Linked DNA regions of Oryzias latipes. The protein of the gene in region 1 purifies or fractionates together with the protein of each later gene. This does not show direct contact. Links are inferred from orthologs where the notes say so. Each region holds a gene or a part of one and is shown in the gene's direction. Other genes may lie near its edges.

Region 1 (3,961 bases):
CTTTTTTCCGCATAAAGTCTGCAGAGAGTCCCACATGTGAGAAAAAAGGAGGCTGTTCATGAGAGTGTGTGATAGGTTTTATTGCATTTTGTAGATAGTCAGGCTTAAGTCAAGGTCTCTTTCTCTGTCTCTTTCACACAAATACAGCCCTGACAGAGCTTATAAAATGTCAGTGTGACCAACAGAAAGCAAAAATGTGGGAGTTCAGACGTGCTTCTGCTGCAATTGTTTTATTTTTCTTTCCATTCACCTGCTGAACTAAGAGGTTAAATTGTTACTACAAATGTGTCTGACTTTGGATGTGTGCTATGTAAGGACCTTACTGCGAAGCCACCATTCTTTTTGGCTGCAGGGTGGTGCATTCTTGCCCCACAGAATGCTCTGGCTCAAATCTTGACTAGGTCCTTTCTGTGTAGAGTTTGCATATTCTAATTTTGACCATTTTAAGTTATAAACACGAACGTTAAAAAAGCTGTTTCTAAGATCCTCAAATGATTAAAACCACAATTAAATTAACATCTTACTTTTTTTTTTAAAATAACTCGCCCAACAAAGATAAAAGACCAAGAAGATTAGCTTATTCTTATTTTTTTAGACAATTTACAGAATCAATATGTGCTGTGGCCTAAAGTTTAGATGCACTGTGGTATTAGATTAAAAATAATGTCAAAGATTATAAAGAGAACCCCCCCCCCCCCCCCCCCAAAAAAAAGCATTAGGGAATAAATGCTAAATCATGTAGCTGTTCCAACAGCTGGAATCAAACAAAAACGTGTCAGCACGCTCTGTTTTTAAACAGTGGTTTAAAAAGTGAGTAGAATTAAATTGTTTGACGAACTTTTTTGGACTCTGACAGTTGAGAGATTCTCTTCACCAAGGTGCTCATAGCGCAACTTGAGTTTATTAACTATTAGCTGTGGGTTTTAAAATTGTAACATTTTGGAAAAAAATATATTTTCCTTTTGGTTAAAGAAAAAATACTTCAAAATTAAAAACCTATCTTCTGTACATCATCAAAAACTTTTCTGACATTTACACAAACATCTATCGATGATTTTTTATCCTAATTTTAAAAAAACCTCACTGATTCCCTTTAATTTTCTCTTAACATTCTATTCTTTTTTTCAAAGCGGAACCTTTGTCAGACACGACACGAGGGGGACATATTATTTGCAAACACCAGCAGTTTCCGGCTGTATTTATTTTTGAAATTTCGACGCCAAAGTGAAACAAGGGCAGTTTTAGACTTGCGAATTTTCACTCAAATTTTTACAAGCAGAGTTCGGAAAGCGTTAGATCGTGAATCCACTCGGAAGGTTTGGCGTTGATAGTTTTCTGTAAACTTTCATCAGCTTCGTTGATGTTGTTGTTGGACCCTCGGCCTCGCGGCACCGCCGGCAGCCATGTCCACGCTGTTCCCCTCCCTGCTGCCCCGCATCACCGAGTCTCTGTGGTTTAACCTGGACCGGCCGTGCGTGGACGAAGCAGAGCTGCAGCAGCAGGAGCAGCAGCATCAAACATGGGTGACCGAACGAGTCTTTTCCGCCTCATCTGCTGTGTCATTTCACCGTTTGTAATGTAAGATCTGCTATCTGTAGTTGCAGAGCATCGCCGAAAAAGACAACAACCTGATGCCTATTGGAAAGCCCATTTTCGAGGTATAAACGTGAATCTGAACAAAGCTGTGAAGCTGCTGGACGCTTAAGGTTCTCCCAGTCATCATGATGTGGTCTGCATGTCTGATCCAGGCAGGGTACGAGGAAGAGGAAGAGGAGGACGATGAGGATGAGGAGGACAGCGAGGAAGACTCAGAAGATGAAGAGGACATGCAGGACATGGACGAGATGAATGATTACAATGAGTCTCCAGATGATGGGGAGATTAATGAGGTGATGTCATGTTTTTGTTTTATGGGAGGACAGGCATCTTTATAGTGGATCAAAGGTGACAATTTGAATAAATACAACATTATAAGGGTGTATTCAGACTGGACATATTTGGTTGAATTAGTTTCCCCCGATAATCCGGAACAAATTTTCATTCTGAATACCACCGCTCTCAGACCGCTCTGTCAAGGTGGTCTGGTTCATTTTCAATCCGACCGATCTTCTGTTCGCTATGAGAATGTATTCAGACTGGGAAAGTCCTTTGTTCCAGATCGAGTCCCAAACCTTGCGTTTGGTCTATATTCAGACTGGCATCAAGCGGACCTTTCTGTTGAGGACCAAAGCTTGTAAACAAAACCACATGACGAAAGATCTCTTCAGTCATTGGCCAGGAACTACGAGGGGGGGTCAAAACAACAAGAGAAGGACAGACGTACTGTCCTTTACAATCCTAAGCGGAACAGTTAACTGCTCAAACTTTTTATTTCGATTATCGCTTTTGAACTTGGGAACAAAACTTTTTACTTGCTACATTGGTACTTGCATGCTGCAAGGCGGTTACTGGCAAGGTGGCGTGCCGCGTGTGCTTTAACTCAGAGGCTGCTAGCAGCTGCAGATGAGGAGACGTTTGGTATGAAGGTATGCTGATAACATCTAGATTGTTAGGAAAACGGTGAGAAGCAATTTGTGTCACGTTAAAAATGTTTTATTGAATCTGCACTCGACCGACCCCATTTCAATGAGTTGCTGTGTCTTATCGTTGTCACAGCATTGTTTTAAGAGAAGTCTGCATACTTTCTTAAAAATGGCAGCTTTTATGTTTGTTTATTTCCATAGCAACCATTTAATTTTTCGTTGCCTGGGGGTGATAAGCAGGTCCATGTAATTTTTAGAAGAATTGGAAAAAGTAAATTTTTGGATTTCCTTGGCAACAGAGGTTTTTTTTTTTTTTTGTTAACCATTCCAACATTTCTAATATAGTCATATCGTTTTATTCAACTTGATCCAACGCTTCATGTAATAAATTTTCACAAGATTTCGATTCAAAGTTTGCGGGCAGCAGGAGAGCAGGCGGCGTGTAGCAGCCGCTCAGACATTGAGGGTGAGTAGAAAGGGGGTCATGAGGATTTGTAGCATCTGCAGCTTTAATTACATGTATATTTCACATAAACTGAATTGGCATTAAATTATTGTTGACACATTTATTAAATGAACTAATGTTGTATTCAATTATTTCAATATGTCACCTTTTGTCCTCCAAATCTTTAATGCTGATGGGTAAAAGTATTTGGTTGCTCAGCTGTAAATCTTAATCTCTTCCAAACACTCGTCTTTAATCCAACTTTGTTTCTTGGGCAGGTGGATATGGAAGGACCAGAGCAAGACCAAGACCAGTGGATGATATAGAGAATGAAATCATTTTCAGTCTCATTCAAGTAATCTGTCTTTAGGTTTGTGTCCCTTTTATAGAACATTGGGGGTCTGATTTCTAACAGAATAAAAGTATTGTCTTAATTGTCTCATTTTGAGCTGCAGACCAACGGAAGCTCTTGACATCTGGACCCGCTAGCGTCCCCTCAAAGACCCACAAACCCTCTGGTGTGCTTTTGTAACTGTCATATCTAAGTGACAGCTGCACACTGTGGTTCAGTGATCTTTTATTTAAACCTTGACCCGGTCGTATCTTCAGTCATGTGCCTTCACTGCTGAGCAACCAGAAACACTGGTGTGGTTAGCACAATAATGCATTACTCATGAAGAAAACAAAAAGACATTTAAAGGTGTTTTAGCTGTTTTATTGCAGTGTTGTGTACCTTTACGGCACTCTTTCAGTAGTGACTTCATAAAGTTATACGATTCTCCTTTCAGGCTTTTAAACTGAATTGTTTAGTTTAGTTACAATAAAGCTTGTTAAAGGATACACCAGAACACACAAAGTCCATGTGAAATTCCTCCTGCATATGTTACAGTGACTTTTATTTATAATAAACATTGTTTTAACATTTTGATCTCGTCATGTTTAATTTTCCCATTTGTATAAATGAAAAATGAATGTGATGCCCCTTTAATGTGTT
Region 2 (3,500 bases), on another chromosome or scaffold:
ATTAAAGTGTTGATAACTAAGTTAGATTGTTTGACTTTCTTTGAGAACTGCATGTTCTTTTTCATCCTCAGAGTATAAATGCCATGTTGGTTCTGGAGGCCTGTGGTAGCTTGGTTCTTTACACAGGAATCACCAGGGTAAGTGTTGCTACATGATAGCAGTTTAATACAAAGATGCTCACATATGAACCGTTCCTTTAAATCATTGAGACGGGATCTCTGTGTTGTGGTCTTAAGTTTGGTTTGGTTTTGTGCCCCCTAGGTCAGTAAAGTGTTCGTCCCTGGCCTTCTGTCACCTTCTTTCAGTTTAAGTAGCCAGACCCCCCATCTGAGCACACCTCTGGAAAATGTTAGCACACCTGCTAATTCCAGCCACAGACACATTCAGAGACTTGAAGAGGTACCAGCTTATGCTGCAATTTTACTGTTTGGTTTTGCCAATATGCTTTTGGATTTTTTTCTTTTAAGTTACGAATTAAAGTATGGAAGTTTGATTAATCTTTTCCTTTATGTATATGTTATTTTCTCTGAAGTCACTAAATATTATTAAAATGGTATGATGTCTGTTTTTCTTAGGACAACATGCCTTCACCCCTATCAGATGGTAGAGGTCCAAACATCAAACACCATGAGGCTTCATTTTTAGAAGATTACATCTTTCAGAAAGCTACACCTAACATTCAAACTTTGCGGGATCCTGTCTTCAACAGAGTGACTCTGGTAGATCTGTTTTTGTTGTTTGGATTAGTATAAAATCATTTATTTTTTATTTTCTTTAAAAAATCTTCCCTCCCAGAGAGTTTAATTAATTACGGTAGTTCTCCTATTTTCTAAAAATTGCCAAATAATATCATTAAGATCTTAGAAACCAAGCTATGCATTACTTTTACTTTTGAAATAATTCTATTAATTTTCAGACAAACTTTTGTTTGTATGGAAAGAACTCCTAATTACTAGTTACTTAAACTAACCGTGCTTTGGTCTGTTTGTAAAACTAGTTATAAGATCTGCTTTACTTAACTATCGGTTTTGAAATTAAATTTGAATTGATTCAGTATTTAGTCAGACTTCCTCAGGCGAAAACAAGACAATGCAAGGCTGTATTTTTAATTGTTTTATTAAATGTTGTTATTTTAATTTCTCATTTCATTTCAGATGTAGCAATTTAATTAAGGAAGAAGTAAAAGTAATGTAGAAGAGAACAAGAGACATAAAGAAATCAAAACAATTATTTTTTCAAATACATTTCTATATCTAGTTTCTTTTTTTCTTTATTTTTATTTTTATCTTGATGTGCCATGGGGAGTTGCATAGTTGTCTATCTATTAAAAACTTAAGTCTATTACTTTTCATAGCTTTGTTTATATTTCTTAAAAGGATATAATTTATTTCCAAATTTAGTATTTGTTGCACTCATCCTATTCAGTTAATTGTTATGTTCTGGAATAGAAATGTTTAACTGAGGTTGATCCTTTTTTTCTTCATAAACATGTACATATAAAAAGTATTTTAGTAGTAGTGAAAATTAGACTATACCAAAGGAGGGGAATTTCCCATATTTTTTATTTTACAACCTACATAAAACAGTAGTTTTTCAACGTTTCCTCTCTCGTCAGCACCATGTGTCACGTGCACATTCATGTGAAATTCTGACCAATTTGTGAATGAGAACCAGGAAACAAATCAGTGTTTGTGGCCTCTGGGTTCGTTGAGTCATTATTCATTCCTTAAAGCCCCAGGACCGTAGAAAATGACGCTGACACTTCTTGCTCGCACACAAATTGCCATAAAATCTTCAGTGAAAAACTGTCAAACAGTCTTCAGGCTTTTGCTCTTTTGACTCTGTTATTTGCCATCTCTTTGAGGCATTGACACATCAATCTGATGACTAATTGTTGCCAGTGCAACTCAGTTGGGATTTTCAGAGCATGGAATTTTTGCAGATGGATTCATTCGTTTTGCTTGGTTTAAATTGCCGGAAACATAAAATGTTGACACTTTAGGATCCAAAGTGTCCTTTCTGTAATGTTAGGACGAATTAATTTGGTTCTTTATTTTATAAACATCCACATTTCTCATTAAATAACCCAACTCTCTGCTAACTTTTAGCATTGCTCTATTATTCACTGAAATATGTATTTTAAAGTAGTATCACACCAGAAATTTATAAATTCAGTAAAATATCCCCTTTGGGTTGTTAACAGTTTACCGTAGTTAGAACAGTTATTACTTTGTGATAAGAAATTATCATTAAGCTTCTTAAAGCAAAGAAATGAACAGCTATAAAATCAGTGAAACTACAGCTGGGGTTACCAAATGGGTGGCCAAATGAACTTTATGTGCAATATTTTTCCATAATTATGTCTTAAATAAAATCTTATTTCAATTGTTGTTTCTGTTACCTTGTTAAAGATTTATTTTACACATAAATGTTTTTTATAAAAGCCTTGACTACTGTTTTCATGCTGTGGTATTCCATCTGCCATCCAATCGGATAGTTTCTTACACAAGACATTTCATTTTTCATGTCACAATTGGAAAAGGACAATTGTTTAAAATCAAATTGAGGAAGGAATAATTCAATTTAGCTGCTTTGGTTACGGGCTGCACTTTTAAAAAAGCAGAATGCTGTGACATGCTGCTTGTAGAAACTAAATTATCCTGTCATGACATTGTTATAAATCTGAAATATTCTTGGCAAACTCATCTGCGTTTGTGTGATGTTTCAAGGAACTGAGCAGTGGTTCGATGCTGAGGATCTCCATCCCTGAGATTGCCACGTCTGATTTGGGTAAGCGAACACCCACGCTGGGAACACAGATGTATTTTAGACTTACTGGTTTTTGTTGGTTGGGAATGGTATCTGTTGTTAAAATGTTTAGTTTTTCCATGTGACCACACACTTACATGACTGAGTCACAGCACTCAGGTCATTGAAATTAGGTTTGAGAGCCGCTCTGTGTTTTCAAAATGACGTATAACCCTGTTATATTGAGGATACCCTTAAAAGCCTCTAACACACAAACACAGATGTGCATGCACCAAACCATTATTAATGATTAATGCACAATCCAAGTGTCCATATCTCTGATAATTTTCAATTAACAAAGGACTGTCACATCTTTTACTGTTAATTATTAATCATTATTACAAAAAAAGAACGTTTTTGCTGTTGTATAGTTTTTGGGTTTGATGAAATGACTTATATTTTTGGTAATGATCACATGTTGTTGTTTTTATAGAATAGGTACATCCTTTATATTTTGAAATGTTCACCCGTATCTGAATCACTGTTACTCTCTTTGGGTGATAGTTTATCAATGGATTATCTTTATTAAACACTGTGATGTGTGCACATCTATGTGTGTGCACTCTAGGCAATTTAAAGAAAAATAATTGAAAAAGCATATACACAAAGATGGTAAAATCACAATTAAATAAATGAAAAGATACTTTCTATGGTTTGTACATGCTCATTTAAAATCTTTCTTGGTCACTTTG
Region 3 (4,284 bases), on another chromosome or scaffold:
AGTAAAGCTAATGAACGCAAATATTAAGTGAGTTGATGCTTTTTCGCAGAGTTTATAAATCATCGTTTGCTTTCTAGCTTAACTGCTGCAGTGCAAACCGTACTTCATGTTCAGCAGATGATCGTGCTTGGCATTAAAATGACATCACTGATTATATTGGTGATGACTCTTAAAATTAGTCAATATAAAAGCAGCGCATTTATTTTCCTGTGTGGGCTTCGTTCGATACTTAAAAAATGCCAACGGGTACCGCTATCATCCTACCAGAGAAAGTGATTAGATATTATCTTACATAACTAAATAATGAGTTTCACATTTTCAATTACGTTTACTAAGAAAATATATGTTTGTGTGTTGCCCAACGTATTACGGTATTCATGTGTATCATTGGTAAAGCTAAACTCAAAAGGGCTGTGAGCCCCTGAATTCATTATTCCTTTGTTCTGCCCGCTAAATAACGCCGAAGTTGCTAGCTTGCTAGGACGGTCGGCGTTGCTGGTCTGCGTGGGTTTTAGTTTATCTTTTATTCCAACGTGACGTTGAAATCATAATTTTGCCACACAAATGGGCATCTAACTCAAGTAGATTGCTCACGTCCTGATAATTTCGGTCATTAAAGCGCCTGTTAACCAGAATCTTACAGCGTAAACATAGCTTCACAAAAGCTAGCATTAGCCTATTGCTGCTACATAACTAGCTGTTTTCTCCCTGTAATTTTAATATCAAAGAATGCGATCACATTACCTGCCAATTGTTTTCGAAGAAGTAATGCTGATTGTTCGGTCATGGTACGCGTACGTAACTAAGAAAAAAACTGTCTGTATAGACAAATATCTTCTGGCACACAGAGAGGAGGTCCTGCGATGCTGCTGCTGCTGCCGCCGCTTGGCTCCGTGTTTTGACACAAGATTCAGGTGCTAGCTTAAGTGCGCATGCGTGCTTCAAGCTGACCACGCGTTCGTGTTGTTAAAATATCTTTCTGCCAATGAATTAGACTTACAAAAGGACTGCATTAAAAATACACAGAATACCTCGTTGTTTGAAATGTTTTCAATTTAGAAATTTTATGTTGGGGCTTTTTGGATATTTGAATTCCGTATGTTTGTTGACATCTACATGTTTGAAGAACTCGTTCGGCACACGAACATAATAATACATGGTTGAAAAAAATAAACAATTATAAAGTAAGCCTTTAATTTTCAATTATTCACGCGAAAGTCGATTTTTGAGCTAAATACAAACATACAGTGAAAAGCAGAAGATGCGTTCATAACCATCGGAAATATCAAATTCACATTGAAGACTGTTACAAAGAACAAAAACAAAGTAACAAATGTTTAAATTTACGTTCATCATGATGAATGTGTAAACTAAAACGATTTAAATAAAAATACTAAGATTGTATGAGGGTGAATTGATTGCGCTCTTAACCTGTCATTCGTGAATCGTCTGCTAAAACTAATTTGTACAGACCTACAAATGCAGCAGTGCACGGAAGGAAGGCTGCTGAGCGCCATATTTAATACATCAGAGGCTAGATATTTTTTAGCTAAAAGTTCTAACTTCACACCGAAACCTGTAGAAGAGCCTGCATTTTTTCGGTAAAATGAATGTTATTGATCACGTTCGGGACATGGCTTCGGCCGGCCTTCACTCCAATGTTCGCATTGTGAGCAGTTTGCTGCTGACGATGAGCAATAACAATCCGTAAGTATGGCTTGACTGGGACCCGTCTATTTCCCGAATGAGTCTCTACGCAAGTGTTTTGTGGTTTTCCTCCGTTGTCGCGACAGTTTTATATATATGAAAAAAACATATTGTCGTAGTCTTTACGCTATTGTTTGAATGCGCAGCCTACACAGCTTCTTTCTACATGCTTAGCTTGTGTTATGAGATGCATACAGTTAGCCTTCACTCCATTACATAGCCATGTGGAGACTTTGGCAATAACAGTTTGGTGAAGTGTCATTGAGGGATGTTTGAACTCAAATCCCCCCACTTTGTTCACATGTATTGATGTTTTCTTTATTTACATTAATCAAATGTTTTCATTTTCCGGAGTTGATTAGATGTTACTATTTGTTCTTTCGCCACATTTATATTCAAGAAGATGTACCAGGGGGGTATTCCAGAAAGCAGGTTATGCTAGTTACCACGGCAAGTTTAAGGCTAATGAAGCGGATTATCTCAGTTTTCGGTACCAACAGTGGAGGTCTGTTTCACAGTATGTCAAGTTGCCATAGCAACTCATGCTCTGAACATAACCCGGTCTGGAACAGGTTTAGTTGAAGGTTAGTTTGTTTTCAGAGAGGTGAAGGCAGCATGGTGTGTCCATTTGAAGATGATTTAGTGGATGAAAAAGCTCAGATAATACTTTTTCCACCATAGAGGGTGATAAGACCACATATGGATGTTGGAAAGATAACATTTGTTACATTGATCTAACTTAATTATTTGCTTTAGTTGAGATAAATCTTTTTTGTTTTTTGTTAAGTCAGTTACGTGTCATGTTGCAAATCTGTTTTGATTCATGCATTTTATTGTTGTAAAAATGAGCATATCTGCAGGCTCAAACTTAAACACATGAGAGTTCAAGAAGTACAATAAATTAAGATGAAAAAACATTTAATTGAATTGGAGTGATATGACATTTAGTTAGATAAATATGTAAATTTGAGTTAAAAAAAATATTGAGTTGGATAGACGTAAAAAATATATTTAACTCAATTTCTTGTTACCAATTGAATTAATTCATTTAAGTTGGATAAGTTTTATAAATATATATATATATATATATATATATATATATATATATATATATATATATATATATATATATATATATATATACACATCACAATGGAAATGAGATAGAAACTCTTGTGTTTACTTTGTCCGTTCTTTTTCTCCAAGCAGAAACTCTCTTTTGCTGATGCAGCCGTGTTACTTTTTTAATCTTCATACGCCGTCATTCAAATCTCCGACTCCGTCTCACTGACGTATAGCGCTCTCTTTTTTTCACCACGCGTTTCCATGGTGACTCCGTAGATCGGCAATCCATTGAAAATGTCTTTATGTACTTGCTGTGCACGTGCATTAACCCAGGGTTACCAAGTGGAGCGTAATTACGCTAACTCATATCCGGTTTTTTGGAACCGACATACCCAGAGTAAGCAAGTTCAGGCGGATTTCAGCCAGAGTTCAGGCTTAAAGTCAGGGTAGTTTAAACATGCTTCTGGAATACCCCCCAGAACTCCCCGTAATCAAAATGTAATTTTTTATACAGCTGCTGTTTTCGTAACGTTGCACACTTTAAATGCGAAGCTAGTGCCATAAAATAGAGGTATTGTGCTTTGTAGTTATTTTTAAATGAAACTTGTTCGTTTTTGTCTCCAGTGAACTATTCTCACCGGCTCAGAAGTACCAACTGCTGGTTTACCACGCCGATGCGATTTTTCACGATAAGGAATATCGCAATGCGGCCTGCAAGTACAGCATGGCGCTGCAGCAGAAGAAGGTGCTCAGCAAAACATCCAAGGTTCGCACATCAGCTGGTGGAGCAGCCTCCAACATGCAGACACAGGTGAGGGCTTTATGCTTCAACACATTTAGGAAAAAAAAATATGGATGGATGGATGGATAGATGGATAGATGGATAGATGGATAGATAGATAGATAGATAGATAGATAGATAGATAGATAGATCTCAGAAGTTAATGGTTGCATCCCTACAATATATGCAAGAAAATAATAACACTGAAGACCATGAAAGTGTCTGCTGGCCTGCTGCTTTTGATCTATGACCAATACTGATCCTAGAGTGGGGAAACTACCTTTTAATCACTTGCATAGACACATTTTTGGCAGCAGACGTCTTTATCTCAAGTGACTCTTGAAGGGCACCTCTTGGTTTGTTTTTCCTCATCTTCAGGTAATATTCAAAACAGTTTTTACATTTTTTTGTGGCATTTTCTTCTTGATGGAGGACATATGTAAAGAAAAATTAACCTTAAAAAAGCATTTCTGAGTACTTCTTTATTCAAATCTTGGTGAATCAGGAGCAGATTTAAAGAATGCCGTTTGAAAAAGATTGTATTTGTTACGGCCACAAGCTCCGTGCTCCGCTCCAATCTGATACATCCACTTGCAGACAAATAGATCCGTGTACTTCTTTGTTTTCCCCCTCCAAGCTGGCATCTGAATCAAAACTATTAAGATGGTTGGATAGTTCCAATATTGCTAGCTATTTTTGTTGCACTAATATGTTTAGGTTGGGGCTGAAAG
Region 4 (3,870 bases), on another chromosome or scaffold:
TTGGACTCTGCTCTGTTCCAGGGAGATCCGGAACGTGGAGCTGCTGAAGCTTCGCTTCGGAGAGTCTCACATGCACTACTGCGAGGTCATGCTGAAGGTAACCCCCACACTCGGCAGCTGGACTCTCCTCCGCCAGGAGCTGCAGTTTGATGCGGCGCTCCTCTGCAGGACATGGCGGACTCCCGCAGGATCAACGGCAACATCCGGGAGGAGGAGTCGCGGCTGAGCGAAGACGAGCAGCCGCCGCTGCCTCTGTCCGCCATCATCCTGTCCTCTGAGTTCTGGCCGACGCTGAAGGAGGAGAAGCTGGAGCTGCCCCCCGTCGTGTGCCGGGCCATGGAGGCCTACACCCACAGATACGAGAAACTGAAGGTGGAGTCCAGCTGTTTGTTTTTTCTGGAGGATTCTACAGACAGACAGCTGTGGATCCTCTTTATGAACTAATATTTAATCTGATTGTTCTCAAAGTTCATTTTCTGCTCGTCTTGAAGCCACAGCTTTGATGCGACCGCAGCGTTTAAAGTTCAAACCCAGTTTGTCTGTCCTGAACGGGGTTCTGTTTGGATCCTCATTTCCTCCTGCTCTTCAGGCCATGAGGACCCTGAGCTGGAAGCCTCACCTGGGATCCGTCATTCTGGACGTGGAGCTGGAGGACCGAATCCTGACCAACCTCACCGTGTCGCCCATCCAGGCCGCCATCATCCTTCACTTCCAGGACAAAAGTGGGTTCCTTTGGTTCAGTGTACAGCCTCCACAGTCCACACCACTTCAGGTTTTCTGCTCAGTTTAAGCTTTATGCTGAGATGAGCACACCCCACCCCCCTCCTGCATCCTCACATAAAGAGTCATCTTCAGATGAAGCAGCTTTTCTTCAGATGTTTTACTCTTAAATTTTTGCTCTAGAATTCTCTGAACTTGCAGAAAATGTTTGGTTTCTGCCCTCGTTTCCTTTGGATTACGCAGCTTCAAATTTATGTTTTGCTTCAGTTGCTCCAGAAACTGATCATTTATTTGGTCTGTAATGACACATTTTTTTTTATTCGGTTTAGATCAGGGGTGTCAAACATACGGCCAGGTGGTTTGGTCCGGCCCACAAATGAGTAAAAATCATAAGGATGTTTAAAAAAGAAAGCAAGTTTCTACTCCATTCCTCTGGCAAGTTATGATTTTTTTAAAGAAATAACCGAAATGCGCAATTCCGCCACTAGGGGGAGCAAAGGAAAAGCTTAACGGGTGAAACAACATAACTCTGCATGTGCCAAAAACGAAACCTAACAGCTGTTCTCCAAGAATATAACATTCAGCTCCACTATGAGACTCTCCACAAAGAAAAGTTTCACCATTTGCAGTTAAGAAAAAAAAATATTTAGCAACTATTAGCTGGACCGATAAATAACCATCTGGATTTACTACAGGCGTGACGTCAGTGATGGAGCAGGGAAAGCTAGCTACCTTATTGCAAACAAGTTGGAGCAAACATCCAAACCTTTTTCTGATGATGAACTTATTGAGAAATGCTGAAGGCATAGTAGAAGTCTTGCGGCCCAAAAAGCAGTCGACCTTAAACATGAGTCTGTCAAGAATTACGATCAGATCCAACATCTCTGAGAAAACATGGGCAGCCATATGAAGGAATCCAGTCATTTATTGTATTTTCAGTCACTATTGATGAAAGCACCAACATCACAGATATGTACAGCTGTGATATTTATTAGAGGTGATGAAGTGACGTCACAGTGGAGTTTCTGGAGTTGATGGACACAACAGCTGATGACATAGTCAGCTCTCTAGTTACTGTGCTGGACGATGTTGAAGTGAACTGGTCACATGAAGTAATTTTGGTCACTAATGGCGCCCCATTAAAGGTCAGGAAGAAGGCAGGTGTTGCCACAAAATTCAGGCAGAAACCAGGAATAGATTCTTATAATAATGAATAATAATGGACATTTCATTGTGTTTTGCACACTTGAATGACAGTAAATGTGTTTCTGCACAGCATTTGAATCCTGATATCTATGGACGGGTGAAGTTTCAGGAGAGAAAGGAGGTTAACTCCAAACTCTTATGTTTGCAAGTTTAATTCAGTGTAATTTTGTCATCGTTTGGACATTTACATTTTAGAAACATGTTTCATTTTTGTCTGTAGCCCCTCTTGAATTTATCAGGATTGCTTCAGTGTCAGATTTAAAATATTCAGTCTGTATAAAATTAAATAAACCAATATTTTAAAGTGAAATTAATTTTATTTAAGATCCATTGGCCTCTGTGAATGAATGTGTAATAAGAAATAAGGCTACCATGTTGGTTGAGGCCTGTTTTCCAATTGGGTAAAAAAATAGAATAAAGCTGTTGTTTTGCCTTTACGCTTCTGGTCCGGCCCACTTGAGATCAGACGGGTTGAATGTGGCCCCCGAACCAAAGTGAGTTTGACACCCCTGGTTTAGATAATTAAATGTTGCAGTTCCTTAATTGTCCTGCAGCTTCAATGTTCAGGATCTTCAGGTGACAGAAGATTTTAGCTTCAGTTTCGGCCACGGTTCCGATTCTCGGGCCTTTAAATGATCAGATGCTGCCAGAACGTCTCCAGGTTCCTCCGTTCTCCGTCACTGCAGACGCCACTTTGGGTTTCAGGCTCCTGGACGCTGGAGGAGCTGAGCGGAAAGCTGGGGGCCCCCAAGGAGCTGGTCCACAGGAAGCTGGCCCTGTGGCAGCAGCAGGGCGTCCTGAGGGAGGAGGCGGGGGGGCGCTACTATGTGGTGGAGATGGGCTCCTCCATGGAGAAGCTGGAGAGGGGGGGGATGCTCATCGACAGTGACGAGGAGAGGGACTCCAACACCACCACCCAGTCCGAGCAGAGGGAGGAGAAGCTGCAGGTGAGCGTTCGTCTTTTCCGTGTTTTCTAGATGTTGTCAAATATTTCAAATGACCCCCCCACCCCCGTCGTCTCTGCAGCTCTTCTGGGCTTACATCCAGGCCATGCTCACCAACCTGGACAGCATGACGCTGGACCGCATCCACTCCATGCTGCGGATCTTCGTGGCCACGGGGCCCGTCGTCACGGAGATGGACATCAGTGAGCTGGAGGCCTTCCTGCAGAAGAAGGTCAGGGAGCAGCAGCTTCTGATGTCTGCGGGGGTGTACAGACTCCCCAAGCCCACCTGAAGCAGGACCGTGCTGCGTTCAAGAGCAGCGGGAAAATGCCAACGTGCTGCAGGCTGAAACCTCCTTTGGGTCATCATAAAAGCTCTTTAAATTATTACTTTGAACTTTTCATTCTGGGTTAAATGTGATGGACTTTCTGTGAAAAATGTGGTTCTGAATATTTTCGCATTTATTTAGTTCACATTGAAGAAATAAACTCCCCCTCCACAAAAGTAATCCCATTATATTACAGTGCATTTTGGGTAATGGCACTTTATAATAAACCTGTTAAAGAACATTTTCTTAGAAGATCGTCTTCAAATTCACAAAAACAGTTTATTGCTTTTTTTCTATTGCAAATCAAAGCCAGACGTTTAGAAGCTGAAGACTGAAGTTCTGGACTCAAGCGGTTCCCTTTCAGCGTTTACACTCACTCTGGATTAGCAGATCGGGTTCTAGGGGAGAGTTAGCGGGACGGGCTGGTGTTTGTTCGACAGCAGGACAATTACAGATTGCAGTGAACGCGCCACAGATTATCAGGAGGAATGTTCCAGATCGTTTGTGACGCTCCGTCAGCTGCTTCCTGTTGTGATTCATTCACATGAGGACCTGCCGTCTTCACTGCTGGGCTGTTGCGTCGCATTCATGACATTTTTCTGAAACGAAACATGAACGGGAGCAGAACGCTGCCGGCTGCTGAAGCTCACAGTTCCTGTTGGGTGATTCACC
Region 5 (4,035 bases), on another chromosome or scaffold:
TTCTTCCCCAGGGACTGCAGCTGACATTGAGCTCTGTTGGTTCATTTGTTAAAAAGTTTATTAATGTTGACTGTTCTTGTTTAACTGAATAAATAAAAAGAGGCGATGCAGAAGCATGGCAAAGTACCCATTTCGGACAGAACATCCCAGTAAAGAAGTAACAGTTAAAACTGATGAGAAGAACACAGCTACTCCTCATTGATACCAGTGTTTGGTTCCAGGTTCAGAAGCTGCTGTCAATTTGCTATGTTCTGGTGGAATCCTGGGAGTTACCCAGTCGCTCTTTGTCTGGGAGTTCTGCTCCAAGGAACCAAATCTCACCCAAACTGGCTGAACTCAAGACAGGAATTCTTCTTCTGATCAGGGTGAGTACATGCACAAACCTGCCACACATGACTTTTGGCTTTGACGTCAATTGTGCTACTACTTGAACTGTAGGCCAATCAGAATGTGGCTGAGATATATGAAGACACCCTGTCTCTTCCACTGGGGGAGTACATAGACTATTATCATGGACTTGGAGCCGATGGCTCACTGCGGCGGACCTACGAACTGCTAGCTTGTTTCAAGAAGGATATGCATAAGGTGAGAAGGAGGATAGCAAGTGTGATATGATAATGACAATGATGACAAAGAAATGTCTGTTTTTGCAGGTGGAGACCTACCTGACTGTGGCTAAATGTCGACTGTCTCCAGAGACAAACTGTATCCTGTAGTCATGCTGCCCCCCACCATGACAATAGACTCCGCTTTTAAATAATTATGTTAGCATTAGCAGGAATAGGAGGTGTCATAATAAAGTTTGTGTTGCATTCTCAGTGTCTCTTTTTCTGAAAACAACAGGAAGCTTAAAGAAACCATGGAATAAAAATCTGAGTTTCTCGTGTTCTCCATACTCCCACCTGTCTTATTCTACATGACAGGGTGGGCAAAGGGGACCTCATCGTAGGAGCAGCTTCACCAGCTTTCAGCTGCAATGAAGCTGCAGCATTTAAGTTTGGCTTTTATTTTAACATTCATGTGCTTCATAAATGCTCTGATTTGCAGCAAAGAAGCTGTTTAGGAGCGGGACAGAAAACTTTTTACTATCTGTCACAAGTCTTCACTTATCTCTCTGAGACCCGTCAATGTCATTTTTACCCTTTCAACCAACAAAACCCATGGGCTTCAGTTCTTTATGAACGAAAAAGGTTTTGTAAAAAAATGTATATTTGCTAATAGAAAAAAAGAATTAAGAAAAAAATTACAAAAAATGTTCCACCAGGGTGTCCATCTTCTGCCTATAGAACTTTTCAGTGTACAGGAGATTGAGGTTCATTTACAAACAGCTGCTTGCTGAAAGCATGCTTTACAAGATATGAAAGCAATATTTCTCTTTCATTAACATTTTCCGCTTGGACCTACACTAAACAATTTGATCTGAAAGTGAAAAGTTAAGTTTCACAGAAAAAATAATGCAGCTAATCCAAAACTCAAAAAAGGAATATTTGAAACAGTAAATTTTAGTTTTGAATTAAAGAATTAAAAAAAAACAACACCAAATTTATACATTTAAAAAAGTTATGCAAACTTTAAGGTGATTATTAAAAAAGTGTAAAAGAATATTTTTGTAAAAGATAAAAAAATTGAATGTTATTTCGTGACATATTTTAGTATTTAACATTAACGTGTTTTAACTTTTGTTTTGTCGAATGAAAAATCTTTCCTTCAAACAAACAAACACGGTGCAGATTTTGCTCCATAACAGCTGATGACATTTTCCGCTACTGACTTAAAAAAGTGATACCAAGACTTGCCAGCAGTAGGCGTCAAACAGCTATTCTACCTGCTATTGCTGTTGCCGCTAGAGGGCAGTGTGTTCTAGGCCTATGGCTCGGCGTTTTCCGGCAAAACTCGGAAGGTAACGGTCGGACGTTCAAATGTTCGGCCGCATCGGCTCCTCGCAGAGATAGAGCTGAAGAAAGCCGTGAAGAAAGCAGGAGAGAGGTCCCTGGAGCAGAGATACAGAGTCCTAAAGCGGGATGACAGTGCTGCAGGAACCTGTCCAGGTAAGAAAACGCCGTTAGGTCGTTGTCACGAACCGGAATACGAACATTAGCCGTCACCGGCCTCAGCATCTGGCTCGCTCAGGCTCAGCCCGAGCTAAAACAGCATTCTTCCGCCGTCGTAGGCCTCGAAGTTCGCCCGGAGCCTTTTCTCCGCGCCTTCCCGGCATCTGCTCGGGGCTGAGCGGTGTGCTTCTTTTCGGTCTGCGGGCCAAGCTTCGTAGAGGGCCGGTTTATCCGCTCCATGGCGCGTAACTTGGTCAGGACGCCGGTCCCCCGGCTGTCGTTGACACGTAAACGGGCTGGAACGTTTTCTCTCCTGGTAGCTTCCGCAGCAAAGAATCGAGCGGAGAAGACAAAGATTTGTCCCCGCTGTGAGACCGTCACTGGGTCAAGTTTAGTTCAGGTTTGGATAGACTAGAGGTGGTCCTCAGGATTTTGGAACACTTGTCTGGAACGTTAGATCTGCTAGCTAACCGGCTAGCGCCTTAACAACCCGCTTTCGACGGCAGGAATAAGGTTCTGTAGCTTCAGACTGAACCGAACCGTTCTCCAGGTTCGCTGTGGGGTTCCCGCAACAGTTCTGCCTCACGGCACCCGCAACATATCACGCTTAGCGGGGCATGGTTAGCGTCGGCTAACCAGCTAGCTCTAAACTAGCTTTTTAGCTAGCTGTTGGTAAACGGAAATACTGCATGTAACCAGCGCCGACTGACGTCACAGCTCAGGTGTGCCGGTCCCTGATCAGGCAGGAGGGTATGGTAATGTTAGAGCTTTAAAAAAGTATTTGCCTTTAAACGTAGATCAAAGTTCTGATCTAATATTCAATAAATATCTAATATTTAAAAATGATGACGCAACCTGTGCCAAAGCAGAACATCAGCAACTTGTGCCAAAGCAGAACCACAGTAACCTGTGCCAAAGCAGAACGACCGTAACCTGTGCCAAAGCAGAACGACCGTAACCTGTGCCAAAGCAGAACGACCGTAACCTGTGGCAAAGCAGAACGACCGTAACCTGTGCCAAAGCAGAACGACCGTAACCTGTGCCAAAGCAGAACGACAGTAACCTGTGCCAAAGCAGAACGACAGCATCCTGTGCCAAAGCAGAACGACCGTATCCTGTGCCAAAGCAGAACGACCGTATCCTGTGCCAAAGCAGAACGACAGCAACCTGTGCCAAAGCAGAACGACCGTATCCTGTGCCAAAGCAGAACGACAGTAACCTGTGCCAAAGCAGAATGACAGCATCCTGTGCCAAAGCAGAACGACCGTATCCTGTGCCAAAGCAGAACGACAGCAACCTGTGCCAAAGCAGAACGACAGTAACCTGTGCCAAAGCAGAACGACAGTAACCTGTGCCAAAGCAGAACGACAGTAACCTGTGCCAAAGCAGAACGACAGCATCCTGTGCCAAAGCAGAACGACCGTATCCTGTGCCAAAGCAGAACGACCGTATCCTGTGCCAAAGCAGAACGACAGTAACCTGTGCCAAAGCAGAATGACAGCATCCTGTGCCAAAGCAGAACGACCGTATCCTGTGCCAAAGCAGAACGACAGCAACCTGTGCCAAAGCAGAACGACAGTAACCTGTGCCAAAGCAGAACGACAGTAACCTGTGCCAAAGCAGAACGACAGTAACCTGTGCCAAAGCAGAACGACAGCATCCTGTGCCAAAGCAGAACGACCGTATCCTGTGCCAAAGCAGAACGACAGCAACCTGTGCCAAAGCAGAACGACCGTATCCTGTGCCAAAGCAGAACGACAGTAACCTGTGCCAAAGCAGAATGACAGCAACCTGTGCCAAAGCAGAACGACAGTAACCTGTGCCAAAGCAGAACGACAGTAACCTGTGCCAAAGCAGAACGACCGTATCCTGTGCCAAAGCAGAACGACAGTAACCTGTGCCAAAGCAGAATGACAGCAACCTGTGCCAAAGCAGAACGACAGCAACCTGTGCCGACTGTTTTTTTCTTAGCTGCACTCAGATT
Region 6 (4,065 bases), on another chromosome or scaffold:
TTTTTCTATGTCCTCTATCATGAGAAACATGAGATTTTTTTCAGGAGAAATGTGCTACAAAACATGCTATAATTCCATAAAATAAAATTAATATAAAATACATATTTTGTTTAAGTGGGGCTTTAACTGCTTTTTTCATCTAAATCTTATTTTACTTACTTATTTACCGCAATGATTTGATTATTATGTCAGCGGTCACTAGAGGAAACAACACCGTCAATACAGAGTCGACACAGTCTGGGTAATATGTCAATACACTCATCCTCATCCATCACTACTAAGTATACTTGTAGTAAACTGAAATAGGCTAATATTTGCTAAGGAATTCCATGACATAACCCTGACCATCGGGCTCCATCGATTAAACTGTTGCTAGTTTTCAAGGAGCGGTTTTGTCTTCTAAGAACTTTGTCTCCTCTCGGCTGCCGTTGCTGCGTAGTGATTGGTCGAGAGAAAAGTATGGCGGCGTCTCAGTAGCTGCATAAACGACTTCAGGAAAATCTACCGCCAGACTCTGGATCAACCGTCAAAAGAGTATCTTTAATGTGGATTATTTCTGTGTTGTCATTCTAAGACGGTAAAGGACTGAAACAAACAGAGTCGTGTTTATCCGCTGAACGGCTAACAGCTGGAAGCGTCACATCTCATCTGAACAAGTGAGTTTCTCAGCGAAGAATCGACTTAAAAGCTTTATTTTTATTATTTGGTTTTAGATTAAAGGGTTATGATTTCCTGTATTGATGTTGGCTGAAAAATCTTTTCTTTCTTTCGTTTGATTTATAGTAGAAACGGTTAAAAAATGGACGTAACATTTTTGAAATAAAAATGAATGATACAAAAAAAAAACACAGTTAGTGGATTGATTATATTGTTTGCATTAATTGTTATTATTTTCCTGACTTGTTTTGTTGGTTTGGGCTATTTGCTTTTTAATATGACAGAGGTATGTAAATCTAAGAGGTGTCGTGTTTCATCTGAAAAGCCACCTGCTGTATGTTCCATCTGATCAAATATACAGGAAATGAAGAACAAGAACAGGCTGAATGAATAATGGAGTCATGTTCTGCAGGTCATGTCAGCTGGACAGATTCAGAATACCAACCATTGAGATTTTTAAAAGGTGGAACTGTCCCAGAAGAGCATCGTCCAGTCATTGTCGGCGCCGCTCCACCTGCGGGCCGCTCCACCTACATCCACTTCACCTGTGGGCCGCTCCACCTGCGGGCCGCTCCACCTGCGGGCCGCTCCACCTGCGGGCCGCTCCACCTGCGTTCCTTTCACCTGTGGGCCGCTCCACCTGTGGGCCGCTCCACCTGCGGGCTGCATCATGCCAGCCTTCCGGCAGGTAGGGGAGAAGCAGCTTCCAAACCCTGTTCTGTGTATGGCCTGGTCTCCAAAGAGGGATCTGATCGCTTTGGCCAACACGGCTGGAGAGGTGAGCTTCAGCTCCTGAAAACCCTCTTACTCTTTATGCTGGTTTTTTATCCAAAGTTGAATGTTTTGATTTTCATAGCTGCTGCTGCATCGCTTAGCAAGTTTCCAGCGGGTTTGGAGTTTACCACCTACTGAACGCACCGGGAAAGAGATCACGGCGCTTGCCTGGAGACCAGATGGCAAAAGTAAGGGTGGACTCGACATATTTCAACTTGAATGTGAGGATTTTATACTCTGCTCATCCATTTGATCTCCAGCACTGGCCTTCAGTCTCGGAGACACAAAGCAGATCGTCCTTTGTGGGGTTGAGAAGGCAGAAATCCTTCACGTGTTCCCAGTGCAGAGCGCCGTCACCTGCATGCACTGGATGGAGGTCGTGGATGAGAGCAGGTGAAGAGAGGCTCAAGGGATATCCATGCTTTAACCAAACAGACAGGAATCATATTAAGTTATCGTTCTCTACCTTCCAGCTCCCTCAGCTCTTTCTACAGCTCAGAGGATGAATCCAAACTTTTTCTCCCAAAAATCCCAACCCTTCCAAAAAGGTAAAGCCATGAAGACGTGCATTGCTTCAAATCTCATCTACTGGCAATCTCCATGCAGTCATTGTTTTTCCTCCACAGCTACAGCACAACTTCAAAGATCTTCAGGTGAGACACCATTCATGATGAATGTTTGGAAGCGTTTGAATTTTTCCTGAGTGTTCTTCCCTCTGTCACAGTGAAGAGAAGTCAGATGAAATACTCAATCTCTTGGGAGATGCCAGGTAAAAAAACAAGGTGACAGTTTTTGAGGATTGAATGAAAATGGTTCCACGACTGTAAGAGTGATTTTTTTTTTTTTTCCTTGCAGACTGAATGTTCTTGTTCTTGGAGGAGATTCTGGCTTTGTGGAGCTTTATGCTTATGGGATGTATAAGATAGCAGCTGTGGATGGGGTAAGAAAGCTTTCTTGACATTGTAACAAACAATTAAAAGTGACCAAAGAGGGGTTTTACTTGTATTACAGATTTAATTGGTAGTAATCCTGAAATGCCTGGAGATTGAACTGTTTTTCTTGGATTTATCCTGCTGTGCAGGTGACTGGAACGTGCCGCAATCTGTGTCTATCCAGTGATCTCAGGTCTCTGTCTGTCATCGCAGAGGTCAGGTCTGCTGACAATAACCCAGAGATCTGCTACATCCAGGTGAGGTGATCCACTCTGGTTCTCTCTGAGTATCTATGCTCTGTTTGTGTTCCTAATGCGTCCTCCTTGCCCGTCAGCTGGACACAGGCCTGCTGTCTGACTGCCTGCCTGAGGTCACCCGGATGGCGCTGAAGTTCACCTTCATCTCCACGCTGCTGCAGTACCTGCATCTCTCTCTGACGTGTATGTGTGAGGCGTGGGAGGACATCCTCATGCAGATGGACCTTCGGCTCACCAAGTTTGTTCAGGTTTGTTTGGTAAAGAAATGCCTTTCTCTGGAGGAAGAATCAAACATTTGAGCGCATATTGGCTTAGTACGGTGGCCCTGATGTGCAAATCACATCAACAAATCTCTCACCAGAAAATCATGGTAAATGAAAAAAGCAGACCAAATAATAATAAGGTGGGTATCAGGGGACGTCTCTGATTGGATGATGATGTTTGTTCACCTTTTTGGCGGGAAGTTCTTTGTCATGGCGATCTCTTCCATCAGAGGAGATTTCTTTAAGCTTCTGGCCACGCCCACTGCACACGTTTGCTGATTGTTTAATCAGCTGTTTGCCACAGTTCAGGTGAAACCTTCTTCTGCGTTTCCTCTTCTTCACAACTCAAATGTCATCATCCAATCAGCAATGCCTCAAAGGACCTGCCTCTTCTGGTTTCTCTAGTTCTTTTTTAATTTTAACATTAACTTATGGAAACTCCTTTTTTCTGAATCTTTTTGTTTACATTTCAGTCTCCTGAATTTTGTTTTGATTTCCAAAAGATGATGTTTTTTAGTTTTGCTTTGTTAACTGTCATTCTGGTCTTAACATGCGTTTGTGTTAATGTGATTGGGACCTCAGGGCCACCATACTCAGGGTCATGTCTTCTGTGTTCCCAGGAAAAGAACACGAGCACTCAGGTTCAGGATGAGTTTCTGGAGCTCCTGCTGTGGGGACAGTCCAGGTGGAAAGCAAACCTCCTTTGTTGTCTTCATGGTTGAACTGTATTGCCTGGACCGTCCTGTGGATGGTAGCAGTGAGTAAGGAATTGTTTTAACTGTTTTTTCATCCTTTCCAGTCCTGAACTTCAGGCTCTCCTCATGAACCAGCTGACTGTAAAGGTGAGGAGAGGTGAGTTCAGACTCCACCTCCTTCTGAGGACTTGAGACTGAAATCTTTCCGTTCCTTCACCCTTTAGGGTCTGAAGAAGCTTGGCCAGTCTATCGAGTCTTCTTACTCCAGCATCCAGAAGCTGGTGATCAGTCACCTGCAGAGGTTCGCTCCCCCTTCTGTCCTCAGGTCAGTGCTCCTCCTCATGCTCCTCATGCTCCTCTCTTCTGCCTCCTGCAGTGGCTCCGAGGCTCTGCTGTACCATCTCAGTGAGGTGAGAGGGATGTCTCTGTGGAGGCAGAAGTTTGAGCCCCTGGGCTTAGATTCTGCTGCTATAGAAGGTACGAGTTC

Evidence for each region.
Region 2: the proteins of anapc15 (region 1) and anapc1 purify together in Homo sapiens (affinity purification with mass spectrometry; 3 studies listed by BioGRID and IntAct, with this or other methods). This does not show direct contact. The link is inferred for Oryzias latipes from reciprocal best matches to the Homo sapiens genes ANAPC15 and ANAPC1.
Region 3: the proteins of anapc15 (region 1) and anapc7 purify together in Homo sapiens (affinity purification with mass spectrometry; 3 studies listed by BioGRID and IntAct, with this or other methods). This does not show direct contact. The link is inferred for Oryzias latipes from reciprocal best matches to the Homo sapiens genes ANAPC15 and ANAPC7.
Region 4: the proteins of anapc15 (region 1) and anapc2 purify together in Homo sapiens (affinity purification with mass spectrometry; 4 studies listed by BioGRID and IntAct, with this or other methods). This does not show direct contact. The link is inferred for Oryzias latipes from reciprocal best matches to the Homo sapiens genes ANAPC15 and ANAPC2.
Region 5: the proteins of anapc15 (region 1) and cdc27 purify together in Homo sapiens (affinity purification with mass spectrometry; 3 studies listed by BioGRID and IntAct, with this or other methods). This does not show direct contact. The link is inferred for Oryzias latipes from reciprocal best matches to the Homo sapiens genes ANAPC15 and CDC27.
Region 6: the proteins of anapc15 (region 1) and anapc4 purify together in Homo sapiens (affinity purification with mass spectrometry; 10 studies listed by BioGRID and IntAct, with this or other methods). This does not show direct contact. The link is inferred for Oryzias latipes from reciprocal best matches to the Homo sapiens genes ANAPC15 and ANAPC4.

The regions. Positions count from the first base shown.
Region 1 is NC_019871.2:21,813,268-21,817,228, reverse strand, and holds anapc15 (anaphase-promoting complex subunit 15), read left to right. Parts: upstream 1-1,161; 5' UTR 1,162-1,403; coding exon 1,404-1,523; intron 1,524-1,598; coding exon 1,599-1,658; intron 1,659-1,748; coding exon 1,749-1,889; intron 1,890-3,245; coding exon 3,246-3,293; 3' UTR 3,294-3,892; downstream 3,893-3,961. UniProt on the Homo sapiens protein: Component of the anaphase promoting complex/cyclosome (APC/C), a cell cycle-regulated E3 ubiquitin ligase that controls progression through mitosis and the G1 phase of the cell cycle.
Region 2 is NC_019873.2:15,540,425-15,543,924, reverse strand, and holds part of anapc1 (anaphase-promoting complex subunit 1), read left to right. Parts: intron 1-71; coding exon 72-137; intron 138-261; coding exon 262-399; intron 400-575; coding exon 576-719; intron 720-2,729; coding exon 2,730-2,790; intron 2,791-3,500. UniProt on the Homo sapiens protein: Component of the anaphase promoting complex/cyclosome (APC/C), a cell cycle-regulated E3 ubiquitin ligase that controls progression through mitosis and the G1 phase of the cell cycle.
Region 3 is NC_019867.2:25,467,751-25,472,034, reverse strand, and holds the start of anapc7 (anaphase-promoting complex subunit 7), read left to right. Parts: upstream 1-1,484; 5' UTR 1,485-1,606; coding exon 1,607-1,707; intron 1,708-3,396; coding exon 3,397-3,583; intron 3,584-4,284. Other genes in the region: ubiquitin-conjugating enzyme E2 G1, read right to left, coding at 745-787. UniProt on the Homo sapiens protein: Component of the anaphase promoting complex/cyclosome (APC/C), a cell cycle-regulated E3 ubiquitin ligase that controls progression through mitosis and the G1 phase of the cell cycle.
Region 4 is NC_019866.2:2,378,332-2,382,201, reverse strand, and holds the end of anapc2 (anaphase-promoting complex subunit 2), read left to right. Parts: intron 1-21; coding exon 22-97; intron 98-168; coding exon 169-372; intron 373-589; coding exon 590-722; intron 723-2,631; coding exon 2,632-2,873; intron 2,874-2,952; coding exon 2,953-3,162; 3' UTR 3,163-3,370; downstream 3,371-3,870. UniProt on the Homo sapiens protein: Together with the RING-H2 protein ANAPC11, constitutes the catalytic component of the anaphase promoting complex/cyclosome (APC/C), a cell cycle-regulated E3 ubiquitin ligase that controls progression through mitosis and the G1 phase of the cell cycle.
Region 5 is NC_019866.2:74,751-78,785, forward strand, and holds the start of cdc27 (cell division cycle protein 27 homolog), read left to right. Parts: upstream 1-1,235; 5' UTR 1,236-2,021; coding exon of another isoform or gene 2,022-2,048; intron 2,049-4,035. Other genes in the region: somatotropin, read left to right, coding at 222-365, 439-585, 654-716. UniProt on the Homo sapiens protein: Component of the anaphase promoting complex/cyclosome (APC/C), a cell cycle-regulated E3 ubiquitin ligase that controls progression through mitosis and the G1 phase of the cell cycle.
Region 6 is NC_019862.2:1,185,939-1,190,003, forward strand, and holds the start of anapc4 (anaphase-promoting complex subunit 4), read left to right. Parts: upstream 1-1,265; 5' UTR 1,266-1,327; coding exon 1,328-1,435; intron 1,436-1,513; coding exon 1,514-1,619; intron 1,620-1,691; coding exon 1,692-1,824; intron 1,825-1,904; coding exon 1,905-1,979; intron 1,980-2,057; coding exon 2,058-2,084; intron 2,085-2,155; coding exon 2,156-2,200; intron 2,201-2,286; coding exon 2,287-2,371; intron 2,372-2,512; coding exon 2,513-2,620; intron 2,621-2,697; coding exon 2,698-2,868; intron 2,869-3,503; coding exon 3,504-3,568; intron 3,569-3,682; coding exon 3,683-3,725; intron 3,726-3,802; coding exon 3,803-3,879; intron 3,880-3,954; coding exon 3,955-4,055; intron 4,056-4,065. UniProt on the Homo sapiens protein: Component of the anaphase promoting complex/cyclosome (APC/C), a cell cycle-regulated E3 ubiquitin ligase that controls progression through mitosis and the G1 phase of the cell cycle.